Oryctolagus cuniculus: one gene and its partner. The protein of the gene in region 1 binds, or shares a complex with, the protein of each later gene. Links are inferred from orthologs where the notes say so. Each region holds a gene or a part of one and is shown in the gene's direction. Other genes may lie near its edges.

The links. Proteins that work in one complex are often made in the same cells at the same time.
Region 2: ERCC3 (region 1) and GTF2A1 share a complex: the UniProt entries of both Homo sapiens proteins name them as parts of the TBP-based Pol II pre-initiation complex. The link is inferred for Oryctolagus cuniculus from reciprocal best matches to the Homo sapiens genes ERCC3 and GTF2A1.

Annotation. Positions count from the first base shown.
Region 1 is NC_091434.1:122,282,003-122,287,487, forward strand, and holds the start of ERCC3 (general transcription and DNA repair factor IIH helicase/translocase subunit XPB), read left to right. Parts: upstream 1-2,156; 5' UTR 2,157-2,271; coding exon 2,272-2,299; intron 2,300-2,575; coding exon 2,576-2,781; intron 2,782-3,444; coding exon 3,445-3,681; intron 3,682-5,485. UniProt on the Homo sapiens protein: ATP-dependent 3'-5' DNA helicase/translocase. Binds dsDNA rather than ssDNA, unzipping it in a translocase rather than classical helicase activity. Component of the general transcription and DNA repair factor IIH (TFIIH) core complex.
Region 2 is NC_091451.1:27,054,506-27,060,076, reverse strand, and holds the start of GTF2A1 (transcription initiation factor IIA subunit 1), read left to right. Parts: upstream 1-1,825; 5' UTR 1,826-2,279; coding exon 2,280-2,309; intron 2,310-2,928; exon of another isoform or gene 2,929-3,065; intron 3,066-3,252; exon of another isoform or gene 3,253-3,358; intron 3,359-5,571. UniProt on the Homo sapiens protein: TFIIA is a component of the transcription machinery of RNA polymerase II and plays an important role in transcriptional activation. TFIIA in a complex with TBP mediates transcriptional activity.

The DNA of each region.
Region 1 (5,485 bases):
ATAGCAGAGAGCTGGCCTGGAAGAGGGGCAACCGGGACAGAATCCGGCGCCCCAACCGGGACTAGAACCCGGTGTGCCGGCGCCACAAGGTGGAGGATTAGCCTATTGAGCCACGGCGCCGGCTTAGAAAAATTTTTGAAATAAAGTTTTCCTTTCATATGAAATGCTTAAAAAAAAAAAAAAAAAAAAAAACCCTGTGTTTAATCCCGTGTTTCCACTTCTCAGAATTTGCCTTAAAACAACCCAGGATGCAGTTAATGATTTATAACTCATGATATGCATAATAGAGCTATTTAAAACTGAATGGACTGGAACTATCCAATTAGGATTTGGCTAAGTAAAGTATGATATTGCCATACAATGGAATATTAATTATTATTTTGAAAGAGATTGTCCTTCCAACTGCTGGTTCACTCCCCAAATGCCCACAACTGCTGTGGCTGGGCCAGACTGAAGCCAGGAGCCAGGAAGTCCATGCGGGTCTTCCACATGGATGGCAGGGACCGATGTAATGGAGCCATTGACTGTTGCCTCCTGGGGTGCACATTAGTTGGAAGCAGAGGGGGGACTCTATCTCAGGCACTCCAATATGGGATATGGGCATGCCAAGTGTTGGCTTAACCCACTGTGCCACAAGACCTGTTCCCAATGTGGCTGTATTTGAAGACAGGTATTAGGAAGTGACAAAAGTTCAAAGAGGTCGCTAGGGTGGTGTCCTTGTAGGAGGAGACATCATAGTTCCCTCTCTGTGCCATGTGGGGACACAGCAAGAAGGCAGCTGACAGCCGCCAAGTGGGCCCTCACCAGGATGGACGATATCCTACTTGGACTCTCCAGCCTCCAGAACTGTTAGAAAGTAAGTTGTTTATGCAGTCTGTGCATAAATGCCTGCACTTATATTCGGTTTTCTTCATTGTTACAGTTTCTTTGCCTAAAAATCGTGGAGTTACCCTTTACTCCTCCTCTCTCACTTGCCCTAGTAAGTCAGTAAGCAAATCTCACTCGCTCTACCTCCAAAATACATCCAGAATGGCGCCACCTTGTGTCACCCGTACCCTGCCACCCTGGCAGAACCAGCTGTTCCTGTACTCACGACCATGTAAAGGCTACACTGAGCATTGCAGCCGGTGAAGAATGATCACTGAATAGCAAATCAGAGTCATTTCTTCTGCGCAGAATCTCCCAGTGGTTTCCCATCTCAAATCTATTCCCTACAATGGTCTACATAAGTGCTTCTCGAACTTGAACATCGGAAGGACGCGATAACTGAGCCCCACCTCGTCCTCTCTGATTCCGTAAGGGCGGGGATAGGGCGAGGCACTCTGCACCGGCTTTTCCAATCTGAGTTACCCCAGCTTCCGTTTCCTGTCGACACCCCAGGGAGGCCACGCTCTGGACACGGGGCACCTGCTCTTTCCCAGGTCTCCCAGCCACACTGAGCCTCCACATGGTGCGATGCCCTCACTCAGCCTATAGTCTTACACCACTTCAGAGAGGTATTCCGGCATCCTCTGGGCTCCTTTTATTTCAACACTATTTTTTGGTGGCCCACACTGCTTTGTCAGAATTTGTGTTCCAGAAGGTCGAGGCCTTGCGTCCGCTGTCTGTTCTACCCGAGCGGTTTACGGCAGTGACTGCGCGATCACACAGACACTCAGAAAAGACTTCACTGAAGGAATAGCAGAAAGAACCGGAGAGAAGACACCCGGGCAGAGAAAACGTCCTGGGTGCCGGCGCTGAGACGTAGCGGGTAAAGCCAACGTCTTAAGTGCTGGCATCCCATATGGAGGCCAGTTCGAGTCCTGGTTGCTCCACTCCCAATCCAGCTCTCTTGCTATGGCCTGGGAAAGCAGTGGAAGATGACCCAAGTCCTTGGGCCCCCGCACCCGCATGGGAGACCTGGAAAAAGCTCCTGGCTCCTGGTTTCGGATCTGGCCGCTCCAGCAGTTGCGGCCAATTGGGCAGTGAATCAGCGGGTGGAAGACTCTGACTCTCTCTCTGCCTCTCCTTCTCTGTGTAACTCTTTCGAATAACTAAATCTTAAAAAAAAAAAAAAAAAAAAAAAGTCCGAGCATTGGGCTCACACCAGCGCCTGGAAAGCTCTCGGCCGCTGCGCTCGCTCTGCCCTCCCCGCCAACTTGGTCCCCAGAGGCGGGACTTCCCGTCCAGACGTCAGAAGAGCTTCCGGTGTGAGCCGGAAGTTCCTCCGAGAGCTGAAGACGCCGTGGGCAGGCGTTTGGCTGTACCCCAGTGTGTGTGGCAGTCGCTGCCATGGGCAAAAGAGACCGGGCGGACCGCGGTGAGACGTGGGGCGGCCGCACTCGGGCCCCGCCCCCGCCTCTGTGGCGGAGCTGCTTCAGGCTTCGCCGCCAGGCTGTTTCCCGCAGGCCCTGCCGCCGGGCAGGGGAGCTGCGTGGCTGGAGCTCAGCGCAGCTCTCTGCGAACCGGCCGGGTGGGGGGCGGTTGTTTTTAGTGCAGAGTTGGTGGCGCGGGGGGTGATGGCCGCGACCTGGCGCCCTGCAATGTGGTGGAAACCCCAGACTGCTGCGGGGCTCACGCCTGTGTCTGTTTGCAGACAAGAAGAAGTCCAAGAAGCGGCACTACGAGGATGAGGAAGAAGATGACGACGACGCCCCTGGAAACGACTCTCAGGAGGCCGTACCCTCAGCGGCCGGGAAGCAGGTGGACGAGTCGGGCACCAAAGTGGACGAGTACGGGGCCAAAGACTACAGGCTGCAGATGCCTCTCAAGGATGACCACGCTTCCAGGCCCCTCTGGGTGGTAAGCACGCCCTCGGCCGGGACCGGGCTCCGGAGCCTGGAACAGCCGCCGAAGCTTGGGCGTTCTCAGATCCAAAAGTGAGGTGTGGGATTCAGTCTTCCGGACAGCGCGCTCTCTACCTCCCCCCCCCCCCCCCACACCTGCGCACAAGGGCCACACGATCCTGCCTGCAGTTCCTCTACCTCCAGCCCCTCCATTCTCATCCACTCCCCTCTCCTTTTCCCTACCCCATGCCAGGAATTAACGTTGAGCTGCGGGATAAATAGCATGTATTATGTAGCACTTTATTTAGCATGTTTTAGATCAGTTGGAAACCGTGGATCTGGGAGCCAACTTTGGCTCAGCCCAGAGTAGTGAGCGTTCTACCTTCAGTTGAGATCTAACTTAAAAACGGTTCCGTGAGGATAGGCAGTAAGGTTGCATTTCCTTGTGCAGAATCCCCGTGTGAGAAACAGCTGTGGACTTTGGAAACCTTTTCTTCTGTTTTGCTCTCCTTCTGTGTATCTGATTTGAGTAGTAGACCCTACAGTTATTTGGAGGGGGGCTTGCAGGAACGCTTCTGGTGTTAGGCGGCTTGTCCTTCTTTGATAATTATATGGGAGAGAGTCTTAAGAGTCTCTGCAACTCTGGAGTGTCCTGTCATGTGTATTTGATGTTCTTCAGGCTCCTGATGGCCACATCTTCTTGGAAGCCTTCTCTCCAGTTTACAAATATGCCCAAGACTTCCTGGTGGCTATTGCCGAGCCGGTGTGCCGGCCAACCCACGTGCATGAGTACAAGCTAACTGCCTACTCCCTGTATGCAGCTGTCAGCGTTGGGCTGCAAACCAGTGACATCACTGAGTACCTCAGGAAGCTCAGCAAGACTGGAGTCCCCGATGGAATCATGCAGTTTATTAAGGCAAGTAGGGACCGAGGCCAGCCTGCCCTGGGGATGGCGGCACAGTGTGGATAGGTGTTGCTTGTCGTCAGCCTGGGGCAGCCACGGAAGTGTGCCAATCAGATCCCCTGTGGGGAGCGCAGCTGCTGCTTCCCTGGGTCCTGCACTGTGTTGTGGCTGAGGCTGTGTTTTCCCCCAAGCTGCTCTCATCCATGGGAGCTAACAGCATGGGTACCGGTTCAGACTCCTTCTGGCCAGGATTATTTGGGAACACAGCCTAGAGTGGGGTGGTGCTGTGCACTGGGTTGTGGTCTCCCAAAGTTAGCATGTTGAAACCCTAACCCCCAGTGTGGGTTGGAGTGAGAAAGTAATTAAGACTAAAGGAGGCCCTAAGGATGGGGCCTTGATCCAGTGGGATGATTGTCCTTATAAGCACAGATACTGTGAGAGCTCTTCTTCTCTCTCCATGTCATGTGAATTCACAGCAAGAAGACAGCTCCCTACAAAGAGGACCTTTACCACAAACCACATTGGCTGGTACCTTGGTCATAGGCTTCCAGCCTCCAGAACACTGAGAAAATAGATGTTGAAGCCATTCAGTGTGTGGTTTTTGGTTTTGTCAACCCTAGCTGACTAATGCAGGGGCTAAACTCCATCTAAGAATAAATGCTTGCATGAGGCCAGTGGTCAGTGAGCTCCCTTGGGGGAACATCAAAAAGACCTGCAGCTGTTGCAGTAGAGAGGGTTCTGTGTGCACAGTGGTTGGTAGAGGACTAGTGCCATTCTGAAGGTATAGATGATGACTCTGTTGCCTTTGGCTGATCTAAAGGGAGGGTGAATCAGATCCCAAATCAAATGGCAGAAGAGGGCCCCAGACTGCCATGGCCTCTGGCCCCAGAGTAGCTGCCAGGAGCCCTGAAGAGAGTTCTGTCTTATGATGGGCAAGGCCGCCCAGGGAGAGGGGCTTACATCTCACTGGTTTGAGCCAGCTTCGCTCCGTGGCTGCACCCACTCGTGCCTGGGAGCTGCTTGTAGAGATACGTGCATTGGTACAATGCAGTGGTGGGTGGGGGGCAGGGGGAAGGAGCAACAGCCAAGGGTTTGAGTGGTGAGATTTTCATGGCCACCATCACACCTCTGTGGCTTTCTTCATAGAGCTTGTCTGTATTCTCTGCCATCAAGAAGCTTACGTTTTAGTTGGGGAAATAATATGGGCAAGGAGGTCAGATTTATGTTGATTTATGCAACAGTTACCATGTGCCTACTCCATGCCAGCTGTGTACTAGGAGCTGTGGTAATTACTGGTGTGGCAGGATGAGCTCTGGATGAGGGTGACAACTTTGGACATGGTGAGGAAGGGAAGAGAAGATAAAAAGAGGGGCTGGTGCTGTGGTGTGGCGGGTAAAGCTGCCACCTACAGTGCCAGCATCCCAGATGGGCACCGGTTCTAGTCCCAACTGCTCCACTTCCGATTCAGCTCTCTGCTATGGCCTGGGAAAGCAGTGGAGGATGGCCCAAGTGCTTGGGCTCCTGCACCAGTTTTGGAGACCGGGAGGAAGCTCCTGGCTCCTGGCTTCAGATTGGCGCAGCTCCAGCTGTTGTGGCCTTCTGAGGAGTGAACCAGCAGATGGAAAACCTCTCTCTCTCTGTAACTCTGCCTTCTCAAATAAATAAATCTTTTTTTTAAAAAAAGAGAAGATAAAAGAGAGATTTTAAGCTGTTTTAGAAATTAAGGAATGTATGTCAGAATTAGGCAAGAAAGTTTTGCTCTCCAAAAGCACTTTCCAAAAGCAGAAGCTAATGGGGAAAGCTCGATTTAGACAGA
Region 2 (5,571 bases), on another chromosome or scaffold:
GAGTGTGAAAGTCATAAGGACATTTTTAATCCAGTGAGGGGATTCCAGTATTTCACAAATCAGACCCACTGGCACATACATCTCATTGCCTTAGAGCAGAATCGTTGTGCAGAGCACAAATTTCATAGGTCTACTTCCTTGTCCATCTGCAGTGGTCTCAACCTAAATTGATAACAAAATACCTGACCACTTAGTCAAGTGTATCAGGTGATAGGATAGAAAACTAGGCGGAAGGTGAGGGATCTCAATGAAATTGGGAGTACCTCCAAGGAGGAAACAAAAAGTCCTCTTAAAACACTTTGCAGGGAGAACTACTAAGAGTGATGTTATTTGGGTACATTTTCAGGCTAATTGCCACCTGAATCTTAACTACACAAAAAATGTTGATAGAATCAGTTTCACATAAGCTACTAGGAACACAGATGTCCTGTGATTAATTTTTTCTTTAAGCACTTCCGACCAGGAGCTGTGCAGCGAACTACTAAGCAACAAACTGTGAAGGGCAGATTGGAGTTAGGAGCTAAACCATAGAGCTAAATACACTGTACGCCCTCACCCATTCACATTCCTATTTGCCATCTCCCATTTTCTATTAACGGCCTCTTGCTTTTCTAATCCTTTCCCGGAGCCTGGCAAGGTGCATCTTCCCCCCCCTGGTAGCATGCCTTTGATAAGTCTTCAAACCTGGTTTCACCCACACAACTCTTCTGATATTCTGTTTTGCTTTGCCTTTTGAAGATAAACCCCCTCACTCAAAATTCCCGGGCTAGAGAAAATGAGGTACTGAGGGTTCTGCCTTCGGGACAGCGCACTCTGTTCCGCGTGAGATGTTGACATCAAAGCTGGCTTTGCTTGGGTGAAGCAGGTCAAACGCCTATCGAATGCCCTCCACGACACGGACACATGCTCCCAGCTCTCTCGCAGGGAGAGGCCGTGTTAACTGGTGGGTCAAAGGCTCGTACTTCACGTGTGATTAGTCACTCCAGGCTAGCCACGTGGAGTCATGGCATGTTGGCAACATTTTTAAAACGCCAGGCAAAGTCATCGCTCTTCCATAGTCCAGCGGCTGGAGTTTCGCGCTTTGTCATTTCCATCAGGCTGCGAAGTCATTAAAACCACGCGGGCTAGCGGGGGCCGAAAGTTTGGGGACACTTCGCCCCCAAATCCTTGATACCCAGACTCAGCGTGGGGACAAACAGCTGCGCCGGCTTCGGAGGTTGCTAATTCTGGACCGTGCAGACCGAGGACCCAAATAGACTCCCACCCGCTTTTGAAACAGACTCAGCCCTGCGAGAAGAGGCCCACTCAGACGCGCGCAGCCCCGGGGCCACAAGATGACTCCGCACTTCACACCCTGTCCCGAGCCAGGCGCGCCAGGGGCCCGGAAGCCGCTCCACGTGACCCGCGCTCCTCCTCGGCCGCGCCGAGCGCGGCGGCGGCCACCGCCCCTTTCCCATACCCCAGCTCCCGCAGCGCCGCTCGGCGCGCAGACGTCTGACAGGAGGCGTTCCCAGCTAGCTGAGCCCTCGGGTGTCACTAGAACTCGCGCACCTTTCCCAGCAATGCCTTGCAAGCTCCCGGTCGCAGAGGGCTGCAGGAGACTTCCGCCTGGTTGCCAACCACGTGATCACGCGAGACTTGGGGAGCCGGCGGGCCAACTCCACTACTCCAGTCCCCGGGCTCCGCCCGCCCAGCGCCCTCCTTCGCGCGTAGCGACGCGGCGCGAGGCGGCCTCCGCCCCGGCGCGCCTGCGCACGCGGCTTCTCGCGGTGTCTCGCGCTCCGCCCCGCCCACCTCTGCCCCCGCCCTTTCCGCCCCTCCCTCCCCCTCCGCCCTGTCTCTCGGCGGCGGCGGCGGCGGCTCGCGCAGCTTGTTGGCTCGCTATATAAAGGGGAGAAGCGAGCGGACCGGACGGCTGGAGCTGCAGCCGGTGGCGGCAGCGGCGGCGCGGGGAGCGGTGACCGGTGGTTTCCCTCCTTGGCACGGGGTGGGGAGTGGGCAACGCCCCCCGGACCCCCGAAGGGTCTTGGCGTGTTTTTTTTTTTTAAGGCATTTCTCGAGGTTTTTAGCTTCGGGAGGAGAGAGTGTCCCCTTCCTTCTCCTCTCACCGCTTCCCCCTCTCCCTCAGAATCGATTTTGTTTCCATTTTTTGCCCCAATCTGTGGTGACTTGGGTCGCCCTCCGGGTGGTTTTTCTTTTCTTTTTTTTTTTTCTTTTTGGTTTTGTTTTGACCGTGTTTTCCCGGGGTTACCCCCGTGTTGTTTGTGTTGTGTGTGGAAATGGCGAACTCGGCAAATACAAACACCGTGGTAAGGACGTGGTTCGGTGGCCGGAGGGGGCTTCGTTCAGGCGGCAGCAACGGCCGGACCGGGCGGGGGCGGGGACGGCGGCGATCCCGGCCTCGGCGCTGGAGCCGCCCGCGCGGTCGCCGCCGCCGCCGCTTCCCGCCTCGGGCGGCCCGGGCCGGGGCGGCGGGCGCGGGGGGGGCGCCGAGGGCTCGCGGCGGCGGCGGCGGCGGCGGGGCGGGCGGGGGCGCCGGCGGGGCCTGGGGAGGTCCGGGCCGCGGAGGCCGTTGGGCCCGGGCTGGCGCGCGGCCCCGGCCCCCGGCCCCGGCCTGCGGGCGGGCGGGCGGGCGGCGAGCCGCCGCTTCCCGCGAAGGGGGCCCGTCGGCGCCGGCTCGACCAGGCTCCCCAAGCGGCCTCGGAATCAGATCCGCGGCTGGGGAATTGGGCCAGCTCCCGGGACCCGCCGGGATCCACTTGAACGCAGTGGAAGGCTTAGGGTTACTTGGAGGATTACTTTGGGTTTTTTTGTTTTTTGTTTTTTTCCTGGCGGTTGTGCTTTGGGGACCTTCAATGGGGCCATTTTATGTTAAAAAAAAAAAAAAAAAAACAGACGAAGGTTGAAAAGCACTTATCTCAGTTCCTTCCGAATGGGTAAAATGGCGAAGGGGAAGCAAAACCCCCGTCGTATCTTCAACTAGCAAAAGCACCAGAACAAACCCCAAAAAGCCTCCAGTGGTCAAAGTGCCCCGCTTGCGCCTTGAAATTTGCCTACTTCTTCCCGTGAGTCCCTTTTTGGTTCCTTGCGATCACGTAGGTTTGCAAAAAGCAGTCACATAAATAACCTTTTCAGTCACCAACGCAGTGTGATCACTAGCCCACCCAACTCTTCTTTTTACTACGACAATAAAACACGTTTTTGCCCGGTCCCGAATGCCGCGGACAAACCCGCGGCCGCCCGACACCGTACCGTTGGCGACTCGGGTCGATCCATCATGGCTGCGGCCGCTTACCCTGCTTTTCAGTCCCTGAGCCTTGTGGTCCTCCTCCCTTTGGCTGCCCTGTTTATATAGAGCCATTGCCGCTCTCTAATATAGACTCTGCCAGGATGGGAAGGTGCTTTTCAGGCCTACGTCACCGCCTCTCCATTTAAACACCAGATCCGGCTTTAAATAGTGAGAGCTGCTGAGCGGGGCTGGGAGGTGCGTGCTCCCGAGGCGAGAGGCAGGCGCGTGCGGAGCTCAATTTATTTCTAGGTCCTTTTCTGAGGCTGTAATTTCCCAGCGGACGAGGGCTGCTTTCAGAGCCCCAGTTTTTTGTTTGGATGCGGTAGCTAGGATTTGCTTCCTTTGTTTGGGGAAATGCGCTCTCTTATTGGAGTCCTTTTTTTATGTTAACATTTTTGATATTTTAAAACACGGATGGTTTAGTCGATTTTTGTGTATTGAAAGGTGTGCGTGTTATTGTAGGGAATTTTTTAAATGATTTTGTTGTTGGACTAGAACTTGGTTATGATAGCATGTTGTTCATCAGGTATTCAGGAAATGTTAGCAGTGTTTCATGTTTTACTCTAATGAGGATATGACGCTTCTCAAAGAAACAGCTAAGTTCCTAAAGCCTCAGTTTATCCACATACATTACTGTGTAGGACAATTGTGAGTTACAAGAATGAGGAGACCTACTGCAAACTGGCTTTTAAAATATTAAAGTTCTAAGTAGGTGTTGGTTTATTGCCCTGGATATTAATTTGGTATCCAATATAAAAATGATTCCAATTAATATGCCAGGATTGCAGCAGTACTGATACTTTTGAAAGAAACCTTCGAGTTGATCACTTGACTGGGCCACTAATGACCTTCTAATTTGCCACATTTTGAGCCTGGAATTGTCTTTAAAAATCAGGACAAATATAAATTACTTTTCATTTAGCAAAAAACTTCGCTCAAGTAAAGGATAATTTTTTAAAAATTTGAAAATCACTGATTTCAAATTCCCAAGAACCTTTAATGACATCAGTATTTTGAGGGCTTTTCAAATTGTAAGCAATTTTCCTCTTTAAGCATAGACCTCATAAGGAATACATATTCCCTTCATGCCTCCACTATAGTGATTATGAATACATTAGGTGGCCAAGTGTTGGTTCATTTAAGGCAGAAAAAGAACATCTCAAAGGCATGTTTGATTTGTTCAACAGGGAGGAGTACCAGAAGAAAACAGATTTTTTCCTGTAGACATTTGGGTCTCCAAGAGTTTTAGGGTAACTGACTTTAGAAACATCCGGTTTGCTGAAAAAATAATGTGTATCATCAAATTGAGATTTAAACCACCTACTTAAAATTATGTTGCCTATTTATAATGCCTTGTGGAGTCATTGGTAAAGTACATTTTATAGATATATTTCTATAACTCAGTAGTTAAATTGTTGTAAGCAAGATGATACCCATAGTCAGGTATAGTTTGCTTATATATAGACTCCGAATGTTGAAGGGAGGAAGCATTGTAGAGATGCTCTTTTAACAGATAATATCAAGTTCACATAGGTGGATTTGGCAAAATCAAAAAAGCAAGTTAGTGAGTTGAACAGTAAAGGCAACAGTCTGGATATTTGGGTTGTTTTTCTGGTTGTCATGAAAAGGAATGGATAGTTTCTAATCATTTAGGAAAGTTTTACTGGCAAACTCATTATTTTTGGCTAGGCCAATGACACATTTTCTTAGAGGTTCCTCTGTGATAACAGTGTTACTGGTAGAGAAATTAATGAAACATTTCTTTTTGAGGTTTGCTTTTGCCAGCAAGCCGTTGTTTTTATTAGCCAATAGCTTTTACCTTAAGCAGGATGTAAAACAGGAGTAATTATAAAGCATTTTTAAAAAAACTGTTTACCTTAACGTATGTGATGATGGATAGGATTTATAGTGGGGTAGCTCTTATTATCTGACCTGGAAACTTCCTTTTGTCTAACAGATAAAAAATATATGTACTATGGTAATTGTTCTCCCACCTTTTGTTTTTTAAAAATTAACTTTGATATGTTTGAAAGCGCTTTCTCATTCTATTTGTTTTATTTTAGCAACCTTTGAGAATCTAGCTCCTTCACTGCCTGCCACTACCCCAAATAATACCAATAACAATAATAATTACTAGGAAGAACATCCAAGATGTTCATGATTCTGTTCCATAGCATGGCCTGAGCAGTAGCAGAAAGAGAGAAAATAGGAAAGAGATCCCTGTGCCTTGTTCCTCTGAGATCTTGAGACCTATGATTGTGGGTATATGAGTAGTTCAGTAG